Linked DNA regions of Alligator mississippiensis. The protein of the gene in region 1 binds, or shares a complex with, the protein of each later gene. Links are inferred from orthologs where the notes say so. Each region holds a gene or a part of one and is shown in the gene's direction. Other genes may lie near its edges. The genes, in order: TLN1, PIP5K1C and APBB1IP.

Region 1 (7,103 bases):
GGTGCCAGCCCAGGCACCAGGCTCCAACTCCAAAGGGCCAGGGGAACCTGCTGCCGGTGCCCGTTCCCCCCCAGGCAGCTGCAGCTCAGCACATTGTGGGGGTCTCCCTGACCCCGGGGGCCACGGACCTCCCCGCTCAGCTCTGCCCCACTGCCCAAAGAGGCCCTGGCCCCCACAGTCCAAGTCTGGCCGACACTGCTGGAGAAGGTGCAGCGGGGCACCCAGCGCTGCAGTGAAGAAGGCTGCGCTGGGCGGGCCTGACTGGGCGCTCACATCTCGTCCGCGTGGTGCTGCTGGATGATGACGCTGGTGCTGCGCTCCACCCACTCCTGCTTCTTGGCCTCCCAGGATACCGGAACTGTGGAGGGCAGGGAGCTCCGCCCTGAGGGCTCCTGTGGGGGATGTCCGGCCTGCTGGGAGCCCTGCACGGAGGCGCTGGGCGCAGGTGGATCAGAGGACGAGTTGCTACTGATGGCAGAGTGGGACTCTGCCTTGGACAGACTGTGGCTGCCCTCTTGCGAGCGGTTGAGGCTGTCCTGCAGACCTGGCTCTGGCTCCGGGGCCAGCCCCTTGGGCATGCTCTCCTCCTGCCCATCGGGTGCCACTGCCCACGCGTCCCCCATGCTCGGGAACTCGCGGATCTGCCGGGACAGCACTGCAAGAGAGGAGCGCATGACTCTCATGCCTGGTGGGGCAGACGAGCCCAAGGAGGAGCCAAGTGCCTTGCCCAGCTCTGAGAGGAAGCACAGACTGCCAGGCCGGATCCCACCTCTTCCACCCGCCCTGCAGTCGACCACTCACCTCCACGCAGCTCCTGCTGCCGCCCCCCTGCTCCGAAGAAGAGGCTGGGCGTGAGGATGAGGCAGAAGGACAGGAACATGACCTGCAGAGAAAGTGAGCCGTCAGCTTTGGCCCAAGGCTGGGGACCGAACGCTGCTGGGAGCCCTGCGCCCCTGCAGGAGAGAGTGTGTGGGCTGGCAGAGGCTCCCGCGGCACAGGGGACAGGCCCTGGCCTGGCTGTTGGGCCACTCACCGCGATACAGGTACTGGCTGTGGTAGTCTTGGTTGAGGACTGTCGCACCAGGGCCTGGAGCTTCCGCAGCTGCTCCAGCAACGACCTGCAGCAGAGCAGGAAACGGGGTGAGCACAGCCGCAGCCCCGGGCCAGGCCAGCCTCCTCCCATCCCCCCTGGTCCCGTAGTTCCAGCGTGCCTGGCAAACAGGCTCGGACTGTTCTGCACCAGTCGCTGGTGCTGCCCTGCAGGGGCTCAGGACCACAGAGGGCCCCGCTGCCCTTGCCAGGTGCTCACGTTGGGGACTCACATGTTCTGCTTCTGCAGCAGCTGCACCTTCTTCTGCAGCTCGTGGTTCTGCACCGTGCAGGCTACCACCCTTCCGGCAGGCAGGGGACACAAGACAGCACATCAGCCAGACCAGACTTGGGGGCTCAGCTCAGCGCCTGGGGGCTGACGGCGCAGGGCAGGAGGGCCCGGCTCCTTGCACATGACTCGGCCCTCCTAGCACTGGGCTCCCAAGGTCTTACGGGGGCAGGGCCCTTGTGCTAGGCACCTGGGAGGAGCCCCCAGCTGACGAGGCAGGGCAGGGCTCCATGGGACGTGAGCAGAAGAGGCGGAGGCTCCCAGAGGAAGAGGGCCTGGCTCTCCACAGCAGGGGCTGGGCCCTCAGCCACAGGAGCAAGAGCTCCAGCTGCCCCGCAGGGGCAGCATGGCAGCTGGGCGAGGCTGTGGGGCTAACAGGACCTCCTATGGAACTGCTCCCCGTGCCCCAGGTCATGGATACAGCCCCTACTACAGGCGCTGTGGCAGGGGGACATGCCCACATCACTGATGCGTGGCTCCCTCCGCCCACGCCGGGCTTGGTACCTGCTCTCCAGCCCATCCACATAGATCTTTTTGCGCCGGCGGCTGTCCTGGGCCGACTGCTTGTTCCGGATCTTGCGACGCACCCTCTTCAGCAGCCGCTCCTCAGCCTGCAACAGTCACTGCTGTCACTGGCCGTGCCCCCGGCACCAAGGCAGGCAGCGAGGCTGGACCCTGGGCCGTGCAGCCACTAGCCCGCGGCCAGCAGGTACCTTGCACAGGCAGGGAGGCGGACAGGGCAGAGCCGCTAGCCCTGGCCCCCGGGACAAGGCTGGCTGCACACAGGCCTGGCAGTTTAACGGGCCGGGCAGCTTCCATCCTTCCGCTGCCCGCTCCCTGCATGAGCGCAGCGAGGCCCCTCGTGACAAGGTGACGCCTTGGCTGCCAGGAGGGCGAGGGGCAGTGGCTGCAGGTCCAGCACAGCAGCCGGCTGGGGGCAGCCACAGGAGTGGGGCCAGCAGCAGTGGGGGCCTGGCCCCCTGCCCCTTCCAGCCACCGAGGCTGAGCCACGTGCCACGGCCCCGGGGACTGGGGCTGCTGCTCAGCACTTGTGCCCACACCTGAACCCCTGCCTGGGGAGGGGTGCGGTGCCAGCGGGCAAGGGCTCACCTTGGTGAGGGGCAGGTGGGACGGCAGTGTGACGCCATCTTTCTCCAGCAGCTGCCTCTCCTCCTCCGTCAGGTCCAGCTGGAGACGAGCAAACCCCAGGGTAAGGAAGGAAGCGCCAGGCGGGGCGGGCGCCGGGAACCAGGACTGTCCCCGCGCAGGAGCCTCCGCTAGTCCGCGGTACCCGACAGGCCTCCCCGCGGGCACCTGCCGGCCCGTCTGCAGGACTCCTGGGAGCAGGGGCTGTACCTGCGTGGGGGTCCCAGGCACGACGTCCTCCACGGCCACGGCCACGGGGAAGCTCAAGCTCTGCTCGCTGCCCGAGGTCTCCTCCGCGCTCTCCAGCCCGGCCCACGCGTCTGGGAGAGGAGGGAAGGGGTCAGACGACCCCCGCCCCACGGAGCCGCAGCCTCCCCCACCAGCTCCTGGGCCCGGGGGCTCGGGGCAGCCCCGGCCGCAGCCTCCTGCCCCTCGCGGCTCGGCGCGGGGCCGGCCCGTGCGCACCCAGGTCGATGAAGACGTCGCCGTCGGCGGGTCCCGCGGGCGCATGCTGCAGCCACAGCCCGTCCCGCAGCAGGGAGTAGTTGTGCTCGAACTGGACGCTGTCGGGGCCGGGGGGGCTGCCGGGGGACGCGGCCCGGCTGTCGGGGCTGTGCGGGGGCTGCTGCGCGGGGGCCGAGCAGCCCGGGCCCTCCGCGAAGGGGCTCAGCAGGGCGCTGAGGAAAGCGTCCACGTCCTCGTCTCCCGGGAGCTGCAGACCCCAGCGTCAGCGTGGCGGGCGGGCGGGGTAGGGGTAGGGGTAGGGGTAGGGGTAGGGGCCGCCCCGCCCCGCCCCGGGGCCCAGCCTCACCTCGGGCTCCAGCAGGCCCCAGGCGCCGGGGTCGGCCGGCAGCTCCGCGCCCTCCGCCAGCAGAAAGTCCAGCAGGTCCCGGTCCGCGTCCGCGACCCCGACCCCGTCCCCGACCCCGACCCCGTCCGCCAGCGCCAGCGGCGCCCGCTCCGCCGCCGCCGCCACCGACACCGACATCTGCGCGCGCACCCGTCAGCGGGGCCGGCCACGTCCGGGGGGGGAGGGGGGGCGGGGCCGGCCCGAGGGGGAGGGGGGGACCTGGCCCGGGCGGGGGGGGCCCAAGGGGGAGGGAGAGGGGCCCAGCCACGGAAGGAGGGGGGCCCGAGCGGGGCGGGCCCGGGGGGGGGGGTCCCGGGCGGGGCGGGGCGGGGCGGGACCTGGCGCTGCCGCCTGCCCGCGGCCCGGACGCCGGGGATCCTGTCTGGGGGGGGCACCTGGGTCCCCGCCCGGGGGGTGCACGCGCCTGGGCTCCCGGCCCCGCCCGCCCGCCCGCCGGTACCTCCGCCGACCCCGGCTCCGCAGCTGCCGCCGCCTCCTTCCAACACACCAGGAATGACGTCAGCGCCCGCGGCTCCCAGCACCCACCGCGCGGCCCCACGAGGGGCCGGAGCCGCCTCGAGCCTCCATTGGCCGCGGCGCTGCCCGCACCCAAGATGGCGCCCGATTGGCCTCACCCCGCCCGGCGCCCTCACTGCGCCGGCACCATCGAGCGCAGGGCCCAGAGTGGCCGTGGGGCGGGAAGCTGAGAGTGCCGCTCTGTACCTGCCCTGTGCTGCTCCCAGCCCCGCGTCCGCCCCGCAGCGCCGCGCAGCCCGCGGGCCAGGTACGGGGGGGGGAGGGGGCAGATGTGCGTGCCCGCGGAGCGGGGGGGCAGATGTGTGTGCTTAGATGCGTGTCCCCAGATGTGGGCGGCCAGAGCGCGCGCCGCAGGGGTCTCCTGCTTAGGCGGGCGCCCGGGGTGGGCGTGCGGAGGGGTGCCCCTAAGAGGTGTGCGCGGCAGGGCGCCCCGCGATGTGCGGGGCGGGGGGCGCTGGGCGTGCGGGCCCCCAGGCCCGGGCCGCCCCGCGCTGCGCAGCCCTCCCTGGGGTCCCCGTGCGCGGCGCCCGGCTGTGCCGGTGCCCTGCCCGGCCCTGCCCGGCCCCTTGCCGTGCCGCCGTGTCAGCCGGGCCGGGCCGGGGCGGGGTGGGGCCCGCTGCCTCTTGGCAGGAAGCGCAGCTCGCGGCCGCCTGCGGCTCCTGCTCGCTCCGCGCCCGCCCGCCCGCCGCTTCCTTCCTCCGCCCCGCGCGCAGGCCCTGGTGGCGCCCGCCCGCCCGCCCGCCCGCCCGCCGGCTCCGGCTCCGGGCCCGGGGCACGGTTTTGTGCGACAGGTTTGTGTGCGGGGCGGGGCGGGGCGGTGGCAGCAGATGCAGGCCGGCCCGGGCGGGAGGACACGGCGGAGCCCAGGCCTGGTGCGGTGCGGTGCGGGTGGGGGGAGGCGGCGCGCGCGGGAGCCCCGGGCCGGGCCCCAGGGCGGGTGCGGGAGGGGCCGCACTTGGTGCTGGATCCCGCAGCTGCCGTTGGGGGGCGGCGGGGGGGCAGGAAGCCGTGCCAACGCCCGTCCCGGGTGTGAGGCATCCTGACTCGCGGCTGAGCCATGGTTTGGCGGCGCCGCGGGGGGCCTGCTGCCCCCTCCCCCGCGGGGCGCGTGTAAGGAGCGTGGCGCACGTGGGCCGGGGCCGGGGGTGTTGCGGTGCTCGGCTGGGCCGCCCTGGCGTTGTTGGCACCTGGGGCTTTGCCCCCTGCTCTGCCCCCTTCCCTGAGACGAGACGGCCTGTCTGGGCCGTGGCTGGGGGCGGGGGTCCCTGCCGTGGAGCCCAGCTGGCTGTGGCCCGGGGGGCCGAGCCGTGCAGTGTCTGGCTTAGCGGGTGATGAATGGACGTGGCCGCGGGGCCTGGCAGCGCGGAGCTGGGCGCTTTCCATTTTTAGTCAGTTGTGTCCTGCAGCTCTTGCTGCAGGGTTCCTGGCTCCCGCCCGCTCCCTGTGCCAGCCCCAGGTCCGCAGCGCTGTGCTGTGTAAGGCTTCCCGGTCCCATGCAGCTGCTGGGCTGTGAAACCACCAGCGTTTCCTGGTCCCTGCCCCAGGGAAGGGATCTCCTCGCTGCGGGAGGTCTGCTGCTTGCCCTCCTGGCATCCTCCCGGCTCTGTGGCCCTGACCTGATGAGACCTGATGACTCTTCGCCTTCACGCCTTCCCCTGAGCTCTGTTGCCTCGTGGGGCTGGGGGTCCTGGCAGTACCTGTCCTGGGGGTGCCTCTCCCCTGCCCCAGTTGCGGGTTCACCCCATGCCCACATTTCCTGAGAGCTGGAGTGTTTCTTTGAAGGCAGCTGCCGGGCTGTCCCCAGCACGTGCTGGGGCCCGGGGACTTCTGAAGGGGATAGGTCGCAGGGGCTGCCTGTCTGTGGGCAGAGGGGGAAGCTGCCTGGGAGGGAGGTGGGCCTGTGCTCCAGGCTGAAGGACAGGCAGATGCGTTGGTCTGTGGGCAGCGGCTTCGGGCCCCGACATGCCCTGCAGAGCGTGGCGGGGCCTTTATCTCGAAGCCCTTCCTGTGACAGCGAGGCGCCAGGTGAGGCGATTGATAGCTTCTCTCAGATGAAGGGCTGGGGGTGCATTTCCACGTGAGGGGTCTGGACAGGTATGTGAGCCTGTTTCTGACTGCTCCTGCCTGGAGAACGGCTGGCCGGACTCAAGGCAGCAGGTTTGCTCACGGTTGCTCCTCTGTATGGGGGCACGGTCAGGTGGGCCAGCCGCCGTCGCCTTGACTAGAGCCACGTCCCGGCTGCGCCCCTCTAGGCACAAGACCCTCTCTTGTATGTTGGCACGGCTGCCCCGCTCCGCTGCGGCTGGGCTTTCGGAGGGGCGCCATCCGCCAGTCCCTTGGCATGCTGTTTGGCTCTTGTTGGCGCTGGCGCCTGTGCAGACATGAGCTGTATCTCCATGGGCAGGAGAGCACGTGGGACTGCTTTGAGCTCTGCGGGGCAGCGCGGGGGCAACGGTGCTGTGCCACCAGAGCTTTGCCTTGCAGGGCTACAGGGCAACTGAGGCAACTGCTGTGGAGCCATCAGCAGTCCTGTCAGCTGAGGCAAGTGCTGCCCCTGCATGAGTGCTGAGCCCGCCTGTGCCCCCCAGCGGGGGTGAGGTTGCGCTCCCCTTCGCCACGTGTCAGGTAGAGTAGCGCCTGAAGTGTCATGCTGCGCATCGTGATGTCTGCCTCGGGCTTGCTGTCCTGCTGCTTGTGCAGGGCAGGAGGCAATGCCATCGCACCAGCTTGGCAGCGTCGGATGCCTCCTGCCCCTCGTGCCCAGCTTTCAGGCCCTCCAGCAGAGGCTGGGGTTGCTTTCGCTTGCCCACGCTTCGTGATGGGGCCTTGGTGGTCCTGGCCTGGAGTTAATTTTAATCTTCTCCTCTACAACGGGGCTTGGCACAAAGTGACCTGGTGCCTCCAAGTGAAGGCTGTGAGGACTGTGTGGCTGAAGAAAATTGTGCAAGGCAAGGGCCTGGAAGCAGGGAGCATTGGCCCTCATGGGCAGGGGCTTTCCCGCTGGCCTGGGGAGGGCAGCTTGGCTCAGGTACATGGGGCAAATCCCATGGGGAGGAGACGGTGTCACCAGTGATCCTGTCCCAGGTGGGGAGACTCCGTTCTGTTAGTGACGGTGGCGCCTGGTAGGGTCCAGACTGGCTGCCTCAGGCACACATGCTGGTCTCCAGCTGGGGAGTGGTGCCGCTGCGGACC
Region 2 (7,766 bases), on another chromosome or scaffold:
ACCTTGCTAGAGGCAGCAGCACAGATGCTGCTCAGCCTGCAGGGCTTGCTTACTGCCAAATGCCTGTTCCACTAGTGCCCTGGTGAGCTTGCTGGGCCTCTGCAGAGATGGAGAATAAAGCAGGGAAATCCAAGGCTGCCCACGGCGCTAAGCAAAATGTTAAATTATTTGCAGGCAGCTGATCTGGGCAATGTCTCCTTGCTGCGGGTCACCAAGGCTCAGAGGAAGGAGATGCTGCTGGAGACTGGGGAGCACATGAGCCACTTCACTGCCTGCCTGTTTGCAGCAATACTCCACTGGGCTGTCCTCCCTTAAGGCAGCCCAGAACCTGAAGGAGTCCCCAGGAACCTGAAGGAGTGGAGGAGTGGCTGTGGGAATATCTGCTATGGCACTTGCTGGTGGTGCCCCCAGGGAGCAAGGGATGTTGCTGTCTATTCAGGCAGGTGGCACAGCCCCTATCAGCTGCATAGCTGAAGTTTCTCAATGTGAGTCTCAAGCTAGCACTTTGCTACTGCACCATGACCTCACTAAAACTCCCTGGCAAGACTGCATCCTCTCCTGTCTGCCTCTGCGCATGGTACTCCATTGCTTTAGAAGCTCATGGCCACCCAGTATTTACAAGCAGCTTCCCCATCAAGACACCGCTCCTGACTGACTCCCTGACTCAGCAACGTGCCTGTGCACACATGGCCCCACCGTGCTCATGTTGCAGCACACTGTGCTCTGCAGGACAGAAAACAATCACCATCTCCATCTGAGTGGGGAAGGGCACTTTTCACGGTCCAGGAAACAAATCTTTTCTTCTCTCCTTTATGTGCCCGGGCAAGGAGTGGTCAATAAAGCAGCTCTTAAAGCAAAATTCAAACAGAAGGGGTAGAGTCTGCCAAGGAACAGGCAGGCACAGGGGAAAACAAGAAGTGGTAGCGTTTGCCAGAGCTTGTTTCTTGAACCTCACTGCTGTCCAGCTGCATGGACCAGCCCTGGCTGTGACTCTCCTGGGTCTCAAACAGCATGTGGCTCATCCCATTTCTCCTCCGGAGAAAGGCTGATCTGTTCCTTAGTGCAGAGCACAGTCATGTTTCCTCCCTGTGGTTCACTAGGCTCTCCTTCAAAATGTCCACTGTCAAGACATGGACTGTGGTAGGGGCATAGGCGGTGAAAGACTGGGGCTAACCATTAGCCCCCAAAACTTTTTGTTGTGGCTGACAACAGCAGCATCATTATCGTCCCACAGCGCCCAGTGCTGCTTGGCATGCAGCCACTCCTTCGCTGCTGCATACAGCCCCAGCGCATGCTGGCCCTGCAACAGCCCTGTGGGAGGGAGGGGCAGGGTTCAGGCAGGGGCTCAGTCCCCCCCCCCTAAAATAATATTTCCCCCCATTGCTTGTGAATAGAGCCTTGCCTTGAATTGCCTCCAGCTCCATAAAAAGAGGCCATGTCTTGAAGAACACTCCTAAATGTTCGTTGTGGAGGACCACCCTGTGACAGGCCTGCAAACAGCTTTCATTTGCCTTACACTGCCTGCTGTTCAATATGTTCCCCCAGCCATCTCCTCAAACACATGGTGGTTCCTTCATGGAGCTGGAATTGAACAGCTCCCTGATCCCACAAGCTTCCTTCTACTCCAGTAAAATGCTTAGGCATTGCATGACAGCCTATCTTGGCTCGTCAACTTGCTGACTCTCCCATGTTCTGGTGATAGAGAATGGGTGTTTTCAGAATGATGGACTGATTTTAACGGGGGGTGGGGGACAGTCAGTTTGAGCTGTAGTCAGTGGAGTCTAAACCAGACTCCAGAGAGGAAGTATGGGATTGCTTCTGAAGGATTGCTGAGGTTAGCAGATTGCTCTTGGGTGGCAGAGGGTTTCTAGGCAAAGCTAAAGGATTTTTTTCTACCTTGAAGGCATGTTGTGTGTAGACATGTGCAAACTTCTGCCAGGAAAACTTACATGGAGCAGGTCTGCATGAGATAGGCACTCACTGAGAGAAACTCTTCACATCTTCTCTCTCTTTAAAGGTTTTGAAAAACTAGCTGAATTCAAACTTAAAATACTCACTAAAGCAAACAAATTTAATACAAAATTCAAAGCCACACAAACAAGAAAACCAGCATGAGATTATGTATCTACCAACATCCTTTTTTCTAGTTTACGCATGCACAGACACTCACAAACACACCCTGGCTGTTTTACTGTGAAAACAGCCGGTCACCAAGGTCACACCCAGACAAATGCAACTCAGCCTATTGCAAGTTCCTGGTGAATTAAAAGTCTCCTGGGTAGAAAATAATAAATACTGTAATACCAGAGACCTCACATTGGTGTAGGGAACAGATTCTTGTTTTCTCAGTCAACCAGGACTGAATACATTGCACAACAGGTGTATTTGCTTCCATGGGAGAAGGGGATACAGCATTTTGCACTGTTAATAGCAAGGCCTTGTTCACCAACATGAGGCTTAGATGTTGTATTTGGTTGAAGACTGTCCACAGTCAGATCCTGGTCTATGACTAGGGGCCCTAAGTGATACTGCAATACACATAATAAATTATGATTATTATTATTTAATAAATGATAGTGGCAATGTGGGACTTCTAGGGTTTGTGTCTGGGTGTGAGAAAGAAAAGGAAGCAGAGCTCCATCAGGAAGCAGTGCTCTGGTGAGAGAAAGGGAAGATGGGCAACAGCCTGCAGTAACATACTACAGTCTTGGAACACATTCAATTTGTGTCATTCCAAGTGCATTTGTGACATCCCATAGTACAAGCAGATACACTTTTAAGCCATTTGTGACATTGGAAGTGTGAGGAAAACGTAAAAGTTGTGCCCTTTAGGTTGAGGTTTATCTCGAGTGACATCAAACGGTGTACTTGCTCCACAGAGATATCACCCTACTCCAGCATCCCAGAGTGCCCTCTGTTTCTCCTTATGCTCCAAGGCCCGTCTTTCCCTTGACCCAGACTCTACTGCAGTGGTTCCCAACCTTGGGTTGAGACCCAAATGAGGGTCATGGGGGTAATGCCAGCGGTGCCGCACACAAGGGACAAGCTGTGTTGTATGCTCAGAGCTCCCCTGCTCTTGCTCCGGGCCACTGCCGCTGTCGCACTCCATTCCCAGCAGCGATTCATGGCAAAAAAAGGTTTCAAAATGCTTGGAAAAAGGCAATCTTAGAAATCTCCCAAAGAAACCACGTGTGGTGTGGACAGTGCTCAGGGAGGTGTGGGCAGTACAGTTTGCTGGCAGGAAAGGGTGGGGCAGGAAGGGGTAGAAGTGGATTGATTTTCCATTCAGTGATTTGGAAGCAAGAATTAACCATTAACTGTTCCAATGAGCAGTGAACTACTCCAGGAGCCCTTCCCATGTTGCATCAGGGGCTCGGATTCTAACAGGGTACAAGGAAAAGAGCAGGGGGGGCCTGAACACCAGTGTCTGTCTCCTAAACCTCAGTTCCTCAGTTCTTCCCATGAGCCCTCTGGCCCCTGTGCCTCAGTTCCCCTCAGCTAGAGGCAGTGTCAACCAGACAAGTAATCAGCGCTTGCTTTCCTACCCTGTGCTCTGATCTCAACCGAGGCAGGGGAACCCCTGCGTGCTGGGATACCTGCTCAGTCCCCTCGGGTGGTGGAGTGCCAGCAGGATACCTTCAGACTTGGGAACGTGAACCAGAGCCTGCTCCTCACATCCCAGCTCTGCTCACAGCACACAACTCCACACACTGGGAACGGCACAAACTGAACCTGTGCCAAGCCCCAACTGTATCCCGATGAGCCAGCTCTGAACCGGCCAGTTTGGGGAAGAGAGGCCATCTGGCTGCGCTAATGCACTGGGCTAAAATGCCCTGCTTCTCAACAGAAACGGGCAGAGCGCCCTGCCAATGCAGCAAAATTTATTGCCAGCGCCTAAACTGGCTCATCAGCTTGGCTGCCTCGGCATGACGCTGCACTATCCCTTGCAAATGTGCTCCAAGAGTCGAGCTAGCGACGGGGAGCCGTGCTGCGAATCCACGTCCTGTCGGACTGTATGCCGACTGCTGCGTAAACGAGACCGAACGTATCCCGAGGAGCTGGTGTGGACAGGTCGATGTGCGTTTTAATGTGCGATAAACGGGTCTAGTCTAAGAAGGAAGACCAGATTTGGACCTCGACCAGTTCGCTATGTGTTAAAGCAGGAGTTTTGCTGCGTGAATCACAGCATCGTTAAAACAGTATCTTACAACCCTGGGCCGGCCAGAGCCAAAATGGAGATGCGGGAATGAGTTACTTGAAGGGCATCTTCCAGAGGAAAAACACGGGTACAGCTGACGGGTTAGGGTGTTTTTATTTCTCAAGGGCTGCCAGTCGGCGGAATGGCTACCCAGGGGGTGGGCCCGTCGGCCTCATCCTGCCGCCCCCGGGATTTCCTCGGCCCTAGAGGTCCGTCATGATGCCAGCAGAGCAGGCCGGCACAGGCAGCCCGGCCACCTGGGGCTGTGCAGGAGCAGGAGGAGATGCAGGGCCCAATTTGCCCCCGCAGCGAGAGAGCACGTGTGTGCACGGCGAGCCGCCTCTACCCCCGAGTGACCCCCAGCGCCCAGCTGCGGCGGACTTCCGCTCAACGCGCCGCTCTGGCCACCGACCGCCTCTATGATCCCCTCCCCGCCGCGAATGGCCCAAGCTGGCCTGCGGCCCGTGCAGCACCGCTCTACCTCTGCCTCCCTGCTCTCTATGGTCTCCTCCCGCCTCTGGGCTCCCGGGGGCGTGTCTATCCGCGGTGCCCGCTCTCTATGGTACCCGCGGCCCGTCACGGCTCCCAGTCTCCTCAGCGGCGGCTCGTGCTGGTGTCGGCGGCGGCCGCGGGAGGGGGCGCGGTGGCCGGGCCGGGGTCGAGGTCTGGGTCTGCCCAGCCTCCCTCTCTCCCCGCGCGGCTATGGAGCTGGAGGTGCCGGACGAGGCGGAGAGCGCCGCCGCTACCGGCGCCGGAGCCATCACTCCCGAGGCTGGACCGGACGCGGCAGGAGGTAAAGGGGCTCCGAGGCAGCCGGAGGCGACCTGCTGAAAGGCAGCGCCCGCCGCCGCCTGCTCCTGGAGAACCCCGAATGGTAGCGCCCTGCCCCCCCCCTCCCCAGCACCCTGAATGGTAGTGTCCGGCCAGCACCCTGAATGGTAGCGTCCGGCCAGCACCCCCTACCTCCCCCAGCACCCGGAATGGTAGCATCTGGCCAGCACCCCCTGCCCCCCCTCCCCCCGGTGCTGGACTTCGGGTGACGGAGCTGGCAGGAGCTGCCTGGCCTGATCCTGCTTGTCACGCCTCAGGCGATGCCACGGGCATGAGGCACCCTGTGCAGGGAAAGCCGGGCGCTGGAGTCCCGGCGTGGGGTCAGGCGCAGCAGTGGCAGCAGCATGTCCGGCGAGCGGTGGGAGCTCTGTGGCTGGTGCAGGGCACTGGGTAAATCACCTGTTGCCAGCCCGCATCCTGGGGACAGCCTTGGGCTAGTCCTCTAGCCACCCAGGAGATGGTTTTGTGCCCGGCTGTCGTGCGGCAGGAGCCCCCTGATGAAGCCAGCCTGGGGTTATTAGAAACGTGAAGGGCTGCAGGGCAAAAGCCACCTTTCTTTCCCAGCCAGATCCCGCCAGTCAGCGGCCCGTCTGGTGACACAGGCAGGCATGCCTGTCGATTAGCTCGCCACTGGCTTTTCCCTGGTTTCATCCTTGCAATGTCCTAGCAGCCACGCAGGCACTCTTGACTTCACAGCCTCCTTGTAATGGAGGGAAATGGTGATCCCCATGCAATAGATGGGGAGCCTGGGACACTTGCATGATCTGGCCAAGGTCATGTATCTGATGAAGTGGCCATCACTGACGAAAGCCGGAGCCTCTGAAACAGTCCTAAGGTGCCACCCTGGCCTGGCTTCAGGCAAACACAGCTAGCCACCTCTCTACGGTTAGTCTGGGAGCTCCTTAGCTTCAGTCCTGCAGTCAAACCCCAATGTCATCTTTCTCCTGAAACTGCATTTTTTAATTGAAGCTGTTCCTTACACCCTGTCTGTTTCCTTGATGAAAAGCTTGAGCTCTGTAATGGTCCACAGGGTTAGGTTTCACCTTGTTTGCTATAAGCAATCGGTGGAGGAGGAGGGGTGGGTGGGGGGTTTGGTTTTCCCTCATCGGTCTTTAATGCTTTCACTAGTTACTTGTGCTCTTCCTGTGTTCTCCTCCATCTGGCCCTTATAAGCTGTGAGAATTTTTCCAGTTGCAGGAAAGTAATATTTCTGTCATCTTACCCAGTCAAAATCAGAAGGCTTTGCTTCTGAAGGTTATATGAAGTGATTATTAGGCTGGAAACGAGCTTATATTAGGAGGTCTGTCCTTTTCTGGCCATATTAAATGAATTTGGGAGCCTCAGATAGACAGACAGGATCAGAAACATGTTGCTTGCAAATCCACCTACATTTCTTCCTAGTGTCCAAGTAATTCATTACAACTTCACCTTACACTGTCTAGATACTTTCATAGGTGACCATGATGCAGCCATTCTGTGCTGTTAAGGTGACAAGTTCCGTTGTGGGCCTAAGTGCGAGGTGCTGAGCAACTATGACTCCACGCACTGCATTTAGTCATAACGTTTCAGAAAACCAGCTGAGTCTTGTTATCTTATAAAAATACTCTCTTTTTCTTTGGGGTTTTAAAGTAAACTTAAAAAATGGACAGAACACTGCTTGATTATCTTAGAGATGCCATTTAATGGGATTGGCAGTAATTTTATGTATTTGTATTTGTTTTCTTGAGAAATAGAAACCAGACCCTGGGTTTTGTTTTCACTTGAGTTCTGCTAGGCAAAATGGAGGGACTTGTTGTAAGTGAGCTCTAGAAAAGTAAATGGGGGAGTCCATAGGTTTCTTTTTCTGAAGGACTGTGAGAGATTGGTTTAGCAAAACGCTGCAAAAGGCAGCAGCTTTATGGCTCTTGGTGCTGAGAAGAGAAAAAACTGATCGTCAAAGAGTAATAAAATTGTCACTTGCTTCTTCCAATTTCTTTTTTCCCTTTTTTGGTTTCTTGAAAGTACTGGAGGCTGAAGTGTTTTATTTTGATACTTTGAACAAATGAAGCTGGAAGATATTGCTCAGCTGTGGACTTGAAACAATGAGTGGATAATTTTTTCCTTCTTCAACAGAGAAGCATGATGTCTGGGCATTAAAAAAAACCCCAAGCCCCATAGAGTAGCTTGGCTTGTTTGTGCAGCATCAGACAGATGCTGCGTGAAAAGTACTCTTGTATAGATGCTTTAATTTGGGGCATGGGTAGTTATTCTTTACTTGTGTAGTGTCCTAAGTGTGCTATGTGTGGTTTCAAACCCCAAAGTATTTCAAAACCCGAAGTGCCTGGAGGCATGCAGTATGAGACCCATTTTTTCTTTTTTTTAATGATTAAAATAAAAGGAATACAGTACTCAAATCTGAAAGGACCCAAACATCCATAAAAAAGCCATATTGAAATTCTGTGTGGTCCAGGCTGCTTGCTGTAACAGGCATGTTCTGAGAACTGGCATTTCTATGTATGGGAATAGTCTTCCAAAATAATATAGCTGAGGGCAGACGGGCTGAATGCTTTCCACATCACATGTTTTTCCTTCTTGTCTCTGGCTAATTCTTTGCTAATGAAGTTTTCCATCCATTGCAGCTAGTGTACGTAGTACCAATGCCTTAATCACGACATGGTGGGCAAAGCCCTTGTTTCCATCCACAACTGCTCTCATGCCTGCTACCATCAGTGAAGTGTAGGCCCCTTTCTGGTTGCTT
Region 3 (7,845 bases), on another chromosome or scaffold:
CCAACATACAGCCCGCAGGCCACCATGTGATTTTATCTGGCTTGCGGCAGCAGCACCACCACCACCATGGAGCGCAAAGCCGCCGCGGTGGCAACAGTGCCACAGAGCGTGGAGCCGGCGGCGGTGTGGAGCCAGCGGCGAAGGCAAAGCAGGCAGGGAGCGCAGAGGGAGTGTAGCGTGGCGAGGCGGGCAGGGAGTGCTGCGGGGCGTGGAGCTGCGGCGGAGGGGTGGGCAGAGCGCGTGGAGGGAGTGCGGCGAGGCGGGCAGGGAGTGCTGCGGGGCACGGAGCCACGGCGGCAGGGAGGGCAGAGAGCGTGGAGGGAGCGCGGCGAGGCGGGCAGGGAGTGCTGTGGGGCACGGAGCCGCAGCGGTGGTGGGGCCGTGGCGAGGCGGGCAGGGCCAGCCCACGGGCCCCAGCCGGCAGCGAGGGGAGGGGAGCTGCTTACCCCTGTGGGGCCCGGGGGAGCGGTCCCAAGCGGGAGGCCAAGCAGCGGCTGCTGGCAGTGCCCCCCCCCCTTCAAGCCAGCCCCGCTGCCCCTGCCCTGCCCCACAGCAAGGCAGCGCCTGCTCCCCCGGCCAGCCTCCCCCCGGGCACTGCAGCTCTCTGGGCCCGGCTGCCCGTGCGCGAGGCCCCAAGGGGGCTGCTTCTCAGGTGCTGCTGGGGACAGGAGGAGCATGGCCAGGTCTGCACCGGCCAGCAGAAGCAGCAGTGGAGCCGTGTGCCACTCGGGACGAGACAAGCCTGCACCGGTCAGTCCCGAGTAGCACATGGCTCCACCGCCACTTCTGCTGAGTGGTGCAGACCTGGCCGGCCTCCTCCTGTCCCCAGCAGCACATGGGAAGCCGGCTTCAGCCGCATGCTGCTTTTCCTGGCCAGTGCCAACCCGGTTCTGCCCAGGCGGGTCCTGCAACACCATGTCAACCCGGTCATGGCACCGGCAGGCTGGGCGGGCCCCAGGTTAACCCTAGCCTGGCCCCACGGATTTTCCAGCACCAGGTCAACCTGGTTGTAGCCAAGCAGCTCCTGCAGCACCATGTCAACCCGAGCATGCATGCCATGTCAACCAGCACTATGTCAACCCCTACAACTTAATTGGTGTCAAAGGTCACGTGACATCATTTCCTGATATGATACCACTTCCTGTGACATCTTTGAATATGGCTCGCCAGCCCACTGGGTGATAAAAAGTTCGTGATCCGGTCCCACATTCAAAAAGCTTGAACACCCCTGGTGTACAGGCATGCAAGTGTCCCCTTGGGGGTCCTTGCCTTGCCTACAGATTGTTCCAGGGCTGGGGTGGGGGTGGGCTCTCTTAAGTGCCTTGGCCTGCTGGCTTTGCAAGGGTTGCTCAGCAGGCCAGCAGTGGCGGTATTCCCCACCCTGTCCCCCGACAGGCTTAGTTTAAAGCCCGGTGGAGCAAGTCAGCCAGTCTGGCTGAGAAGAGCCTGTTCCCCAGCTGAGAGAGCTGGAGGCTGTCCCTTCCCAACAGCTGGCTGCCTCTCTCACCAAAGAGTGGACTGTGGTCATGGAAGCCAAAGCCTTCCCGATGACACGTGCCAGTCTTTGGTTCACTACCTCAATCCTCCTTTCCCTCCTCAGCCCATACCCCAAAACCAGGAGGATCAAGGAAAACACCACCTGCGCCCCCAACCCCTTAAGCCCCGCTCCCAAATCCCTGTAGCGCTTCATGACCCAGCTGGGAATGCTACGAGCACCATGGACCCCTGGACCCCTCCCACCACAGACCCCACTTACCTCCGGCTGTGCTGGGGGTCGGCGAGGTGCTCCACGGCTGCTGGAGGTCACTGGGGGGCTTCAGGGAGCCAGGGCGCAGCAGACTTGCACCCACACATCTCTCGCCGCTCCCAGAGCCTGACCGGAGCTCTTGTTGTGAGCCTTTGATATTGCTACCAATCCACCTTCCAAAAGTTTCATCTTGGAGCTGGTATGGATGTTTTATCTTGGAGCTGGCCTTAAAAATCTTATTGTCAGTACTAATGAGTGAAGGTCTGTATCTGGAATATAATAGTATCTGGAGGGAACATATTCATATTTCATCAGCCCGAGACCACCAAAATCCTAAAGGAAAATCTGCACTAAATGAAGCCTATTTTAGCTAGGATGTACGAAATTCTGCTATTAAATTGTTGCGGCATGGATGTATGTATGACAAGGTGATCTGCTTTACATATACTTCCTATCCCCAAACCTCATTCTACCATCTACCTAAAGGCCGCTTTTTTTTTTTTAAGAACAATGTACAAATAGCATTTGTGTTTTATGACATTTCTGTGATTCAAAAGTAAATTAATGAGTTACAAAAGGTTATTTTCATTTTCTTACCCCTAGGGAGTAGAAGAATACATAGGTCGGATTATAACAGTAAATGTAGTCACTATGTATATTCAGCATTTCCACTGATTTCAATAAATTTTAGACTGGGTAGAGGCTAAACTATTCAATGCAATGAGAATTTTGTTTGTGTCAGTCTTGTAAAAAGCCTGTAAGATCAATCCCTAAATATCACATCATTATGAAGGCAAGAAGAGACTAAAATACAAAATGATGGGAGTATATTCATGGTAAAATTCATTGTAGAATTTTTTTTTTTTCACTCAGTGAAAAAAATGTGTTACTTGATAAATATCAGGTCTTCCTTCTGGAGTGTTGTTTTGCTGATGATAAAAGTGTTTCTTTCTATTTGTTTCCTCTCAGAAACAGATGTTCTGGCTTGGATTGCAATCGTTTGCTGTTTTAGTGAAATGTACATTACAATAAAATTCAACTAGTGTGGACTGTCGCGTTTTGATAAGGCTCCCAGAGCTGAATGTATATAATGACAGCATTCACTGCTCTAATATTATCCATCCATTGATCTACAAGGCAATGATAAGAAAAGAAAATGAACAATTTGTAACTGCATAAATTAAATTCTGAACCACACAAATGCCATAAAACACAATAGTTTTTTCCTTGAATAAGTGGCTTTTGAGAAGAAACAAAAGAATAGGGGGCTAGAGTTCAGGCAGAGAATGAATCCTATAAACATTCATTTTAAATGAGAAAGGAAAAAAACAATTAAGAAACATTACACATGCCCACCTGCTCATGCCACAAACTTTTTCTCTTATACATGTTAGGACACACATCATTAATCATCTCTGTATCTTCCTGCCACTTCTCTAATTACATTTTTTTCTTTTTCAGTATTCTGTAATCTCCACCCATCCCACTGAAGCAAAATGTTTCCAGAATGGACTACCACCAAAAAATAAGTCTCATTATTTGAGATCATTTGCAATTTGTATAAAATCACATTTTTTAACTCCTTCTGGGGATGATGTATGCCATGTGTCCACAAAAAGAGAATGACACCTACTCTGCTATCCTCTGCTATAAATAAAGCAAGACAAGAAAAAGCTCACCATTAATGTCATCAGCTATTTCTTTAGTTGTATTTCAGGCTAACTGAATAGAGCAAATATAAATTATATATATGTAACACCAGTAGAGGCACATTGACACTAACAAAAGGCTGTTCTTTACTTGTAAAACTAATCTCCATAATTCAGCAACTGTAGATATACTGCATACTAAATCACTGGTATAAATTGGAGTTAGGTGTTTTCACTAGTGCATTGCTTATGGAGGGGATGTGTGAAATTTTCCACCAGAAAGGTCCTAAAGAAAGATGCCATGCTGGTTAAATTTTTTCCATGAGAAATTGATTATTTGAATCACACTTTCAAAATGTCAGTGGGAAATTTAAAACAAATCTGAATTGACATTTTGAAATGATTTCTGTCTCCAATTCCAGGAACTGAAAGAATCAAATGCAGAGATAGACCTGCTCATAGCCTACTGGAACATGTTCAGTACAGCTGGACGCATAGGAGACTGTAATTGCCAGATTCAAAAATCTCTGATGAGTAGCCTAGAGTGAAATTTTTCAGAGATTAATGATTTGGTCGAATGTGGGTGGATTTTTATGGGGATGACGAAAAGCACAGCCCTCTTCCCTGCCAAAACGCAAGGCCTTGTTCTAAAGCAGTGGTTCTCATCCTGTGGTCCACAAACCCCTGGGGGTCTGAAGACTATGTCTAAGGGGTCCACAAAAGATGGCTATTATCAATCAAAAGTACGTGAAAACCCACACTTAGAATTTAAAAGGGTCTGCACCTCCATTTGAAATTGTTTAGGGGTCCCAAAATGAAAAAAGCTGAAAACCACTGTTCTAAAGTACTCAGTGACAAATATTCCCCAACCACTTTCCTGAAAATAGTTAAAATGTTTTACCTGAGACTTTGCAAAACAATCCAGCCCCTGTCAAACACACGGCATAAAAAACTCCAGCCCAAACACTTTAAGTTTGGCAAAATTCTAAGCAACTAAAAAGAGGGTCTCCTAATAGCAACGGCAACGCCTGTAACTACACGAACAGCGTATGGTAGTCAGAATCAAAGTAAAACTGCAAACCACAGACATTATAGTTACTGGCAGGGGCCTCAAGTTAATTTTCAGTCTAGTAATTAAAATAACCTATGAATGTATCCGGCACACTTCATTTTGTTCTGTTTTAGAAAAGTTAGATGACAGCCTGAACAAAGCCTTACTAGATTGTCTAAGTTAGTTCCCCTTTTTTGACACAGTGAGCAAACCTAAGGATGAGTTGCCTTTCCTTTGTTCTCGGCAGCACTTCTTTTCCTGGAGTTTCATCATTGTTAGGGGCTGCAAGGAAGGGTACAGATCATCAGGCGCAGGCCCCTGCACTTGGGCTGGGATCAGATGACCCCAGCACCATGGGCGTGGAGACGCTTTTTGGAGATTGCCAGAGTGGATGACTGGACCTCCTCTGAGTTTAACACGCTGCAAAATCCTATCTGCTCAGCGAAGACCAGGTACAGAGATTCGGCCTCTTCTGGGAAAGCTGCTGCCTTCCCAAGAGTGTAAACTGTTCAGGAGTTTTCTCCCAAAGTAAAAATGGCGGCTCCGGGAGGAAAAGTAACCTGGCAACAACCAGGATGAAATCCCTGCAGGGAGAGTGGCCCTGTAGGCGCTGTCCTGTGGCACGGGAGTAATTGGAGCAGGGCACATTGTGGTCGGGGGAGAAAACTTGTGTACGAGTCAAACACCTCAGCCGGCCTGGCCGGGACAGTGACACCGTGAAGGGGCCGCTGAGTGGGCGGGCAGAGGGGTCAAGAGCAGCCAGGGCTTCCTTCACCGTACCTCCCTCCCTAGCAGGGGCGGCCACCCCCGGCCCCAGCCCCGGCCCGCCGCCGGAGGGAAATGCCCGGGCCGGTCTCAGGCTGGGCGCCCCTGCGCCGCGCAGGAAGGCCCCGGGGCGCAGCGCGGGGAGGACGGGGCCGGTCCCGGCCGCAGGGGACCGGAAGGACGACGCCCGTCGGGGCTCCCCCGGGGCGAGGCGAGGCGAGGCAAGGCGAGGCGGGGCGGGGCCGCCGCGGGGGTGTGACCGGGGTGCCCGCGTAGCCCGGCCTCCCTTCCTCCTCCCTGCCTGCGTCCCTGCCGGCGCGGGGAGCGCTGTCCGACGGGCCGCCGACGTGAGGCCCCCGCGGCCGCAGCGAGGTGAGCCGGGCCGGGGGGCGCGAGGCTTGGCGGCTCCGCGGGACATCCCCTGCCCGCGGGGCCGCGCCGGGGCCTCCCGCGGCGCCGTGCCCTGCCTTGGAGGGCCAGCACGGCCCCGGCCCCGGGGGGCTGGGCTGGGCTGGGGGCGGCGGCGGCGGCGGGCCCGCGGGGTCCTGCTGAAACGTGCCGGGAGGGGACCGGGAGGGCGCCGGGTGCTGAAGGCAGCGAGGCCGAGACGGGCCGAGCTGTCGGGGAGGATGAACGCCCTGGCCCGGCTGCCCTGCAGGTGGCACCAACGGGGGAAAAACAAGGCACAGCCTACCGGCCTCTGTAGAGGTGCTGCCTGGGGGACCGAGGTGTCTTCATCCTGCTTTCAAACCGCAGGGCGCCCTGTTAGCCCTCTGCCAGCTCCGCGGGGGATGAGGTCCACAGCCAGCGCTTCCTTCAGTGACAAGGACACTTGGCAGAAGCAAAATAATGATGCTCTAAAAACAAAAAGGGGGGTGAGGGGGCAGTTTCCTTTCACCTCATGCACCTAGTTCATCTTCAACCAACGTAACCTTACCTAAAGCAAGGACTTGGAAGGATTGAAATTATATTTATACTTCATAAGATAAATATATGTGGTCCTGCTATTATATACATTAATACATTTATATATATAAGTGAATAATAATATATCCATTAATTAGTTAATATACATAAATCAATCCCAGCCTTGGCTAGGAAGATCTAGTTGGGGATGGTCCTGCTTTAGGCAGGGGGTTGGACTTGATGACCACCTGAGGTCCCTTCCATGCTAATTTTTTATGATTCTACTATGATCTAGTTTCATTTGATTTACCATATTTGATGTTATGGGAGCTACGTTTGTAATTGACTGCTCTTCTCTACTCAGCATGTGTCATTCGGATTCAGATTAATTTCCATTAAGGTTGACTAAGCAGGCCTGAAGCTTACAGGTCCATCCCTACCGCCTCCTCCCCACATAGGCAGGCCAAATTCTGTGTCTTGTGTTCATGAAACAGCAGTCGTTCCTGCCCAGAGCAGGGGGGTTGGACACGATGACCTCAAGAGGCCCCTTCCAGCCCTAAACGTCTGTGTGAATCTGTGAAAACGTGTGTTAGCCTCAGCCAGGCTTTCATTTTAACTTCACAGTGAACAGAACTAGTCAATAAATGTTTGCATTATTTTAAGAAATAAGGCTAAATCTTGACATTTGCCCTGAGAGCTCATGGAGAATGAGTAAAGTTCCCTAACTTTAAAAAGAGGGACTGAAGGAATCACAGGCCAGTCAGCCTAATGTTGATGACTAAGAATATTCTAGTACAAATTATTAAGCAATGAATTTATAAATGGCTAGAGGATAATACGGTATTACAACAGCCAAGGTGGCTTTGTCAAGAATATATCAGACCAAACTGAACTAATTCTTTGGTAGAGCAATTGGCTGCATGGATAGGGGGGAAGCAGTAAATGTAAAGTTTATTTTGCCTTTGAATATAGCCTTTGATACAGTTCCATATGACATTCTCATATCAAAAATAAGGAAAAAATGTCAAGAAGAACAGAGTCATCAGAGATCATTGAAAAGGACAAGTCAAATGGGTCTCTCAGGAATTGGTCCCAAGTCTAGTTTTCCTCAATATTTGCATTAATGTCTTGGCTGATGCAGATGATACCAAATTTGGAGGGGGTTGCAAGAACTTTGGAGAACTGGTTCATAACTCAGAATGATATTGATAAATTGGATAAATGCTCCAAAATCTTGCTGATTTTTAACCAGTAAAGACAGATGCCAGTAAAGACAAGTGCAAAGTACTGTTCTTTGAAAGGAGAAATCAAGTTCACACATACAAAGTGGGGAATAACTAGCTAGACAACAGTACTGTAGAAAAGGAGTTGAAAAGTATAACGGAAAAAGTTAACGAAATACTGTTGTGAAAAAGGCAATCTTAGATGTATTAACAGAAGCACCATCTGTAGCACAACGGAGGTGATTGCAACAAAGCAACAAAAATGTAGAAAGATGACCTATGAAGAAAAGTTAAAGAAATTGGATTTCTTTAATCTAGAGCAGGGTGGACCAATTTACGGCCTGTGGGCTCTGCAGCCACCTCTCCCTCTGCTGCGCAGTGGGGGAAAGAGCCGGGAGGGGAAGGAACTGCACGCCACTCACGCCACGCACACAGTGGGCAGTGGAGGGGGAAAGGCACTGCTAGCATAGCCTGAATGAGGGGGACAGTGTTTCTGGGGGCCTA

The links.
Region 2: the proteins of TLN1 (region 1) and PIP5K1C are in contact, whole or in part, in a crystal structure (PDB 1Y19), measured with the Mus musculus proteins. The link is inferred for Alligator mississippiensis from reciprocal best matches to the Homo sapiens genes TLN1 and PIP5K1C. Residues at the interface, in NP_035732.2 of Mus musculus: Pro209, Val210, Gln211, Leu212, Leu214; in NP_032870.2 of Mus musculus: Pro646, Leu647, His648, Tyr649, Ser650, Ala651.
Region 3: the proteins of TLN1 (region 1) and APBB1IP are in contact, whole or in part, in a crystal structure (PDB 4W8P), measured with the Mus musculus proteins. The link is inferred for Alligator mississippiensis from reciprocal best matches to the Homo sapiens genes TLN1 and APBB1IP. Residues at the interface, in NP_035732.2 of Mus musculus: Leu1492, Ala1495, Thr1496, Val1498, Ala1499, Thr1502, Ser1503, Cys1506, Asn1507, Arg1510, Val1526, Ala1529, Lys1530, Ala1533, Asn1534, Thr1536, Ala1537, Val1540, Ile1543, Lys1544, Asp1547; in NP_062329.2 of Mus musculus: Asn5, Ile8, Asp9, Met11, Phe12, Thr14, Leu15, Glu18, Met19, Leu21, Leu22, Ser25.

What each region holds. Positions count from the first base shown.
Region 1 is NC_081826.1:303,314,092-303,321,194, forward strand, and holds the start of TLN1 (talin-1), read left to right. Parts: upstream 1-4,070; 5' UTR 4,071-4,158; intron 4,159-4,634; exon of another isoform or gene 4,635-4,702; intron 4,703-7,103. Other genes in the region: CREB3 (cyclic AMP-responsive element-binding protein 3), read right to left, coding at 270-655, 802-883, 1,034-1,118, 1,323-1,391, 1,883-1,989, 2,489-2,566, 2,735-2,844, 2,990-3,236 and 1 more. UniProt on the Homo sapiens protein: High molecular weight cytoskeletal protein concentrated at regions of cell-matrix and cell-cell contacts. Involved in connections of major cytoskeletal structures to the plasma membrane.
Region 2 is NC_081839.1:9,176,221-9,183,986, reverse strand, and holds the start of PIP5K1C (phosphatidylinositol 4-phosphate 5-kinase type-1 gamma), read left to right. Parts: upstream 1-4,720; 5' UTR 4,721-4,900; coding exon 4,901-4,991; intron 4,992-7,766. UniProt on the Homo sapiens protein: Catalyzes the phosphorylation of phosphatidylinositol 4-phosphate (PtdIns(4)P/PI4P) to form phosphatidylinositol 4,5-bisphosphate (PtdIns(4,5)P2/PIP2), a lipid second messenger that regulates several cellular processes such as signal transduction, vesicle trafficking, actin cytoskeleton dynamics, cell adhesion, and cell motility.
Region 3 is NC_081828.1:189,074,575-189,082,419, forward strand, and holds the start of APBB1IP (amyloid beta A4 precursor protein-binding family B member 1-interacting protein), read left to right. Parts: upstream 1-4,774; 5' UTR 4,775-4,899; intron 4,900-5,482; exon of another isoform or gene 5,483-5,584; intron 5,585-7,845. UniProt on the Homo sapiens protein: Appears to function in the signal transduction from Ras activation to actin cytoskeletal remodeling. Suppresses insulin-induced promoter activities through AP1 and SRE. Mediates Rap1-induced adhesion.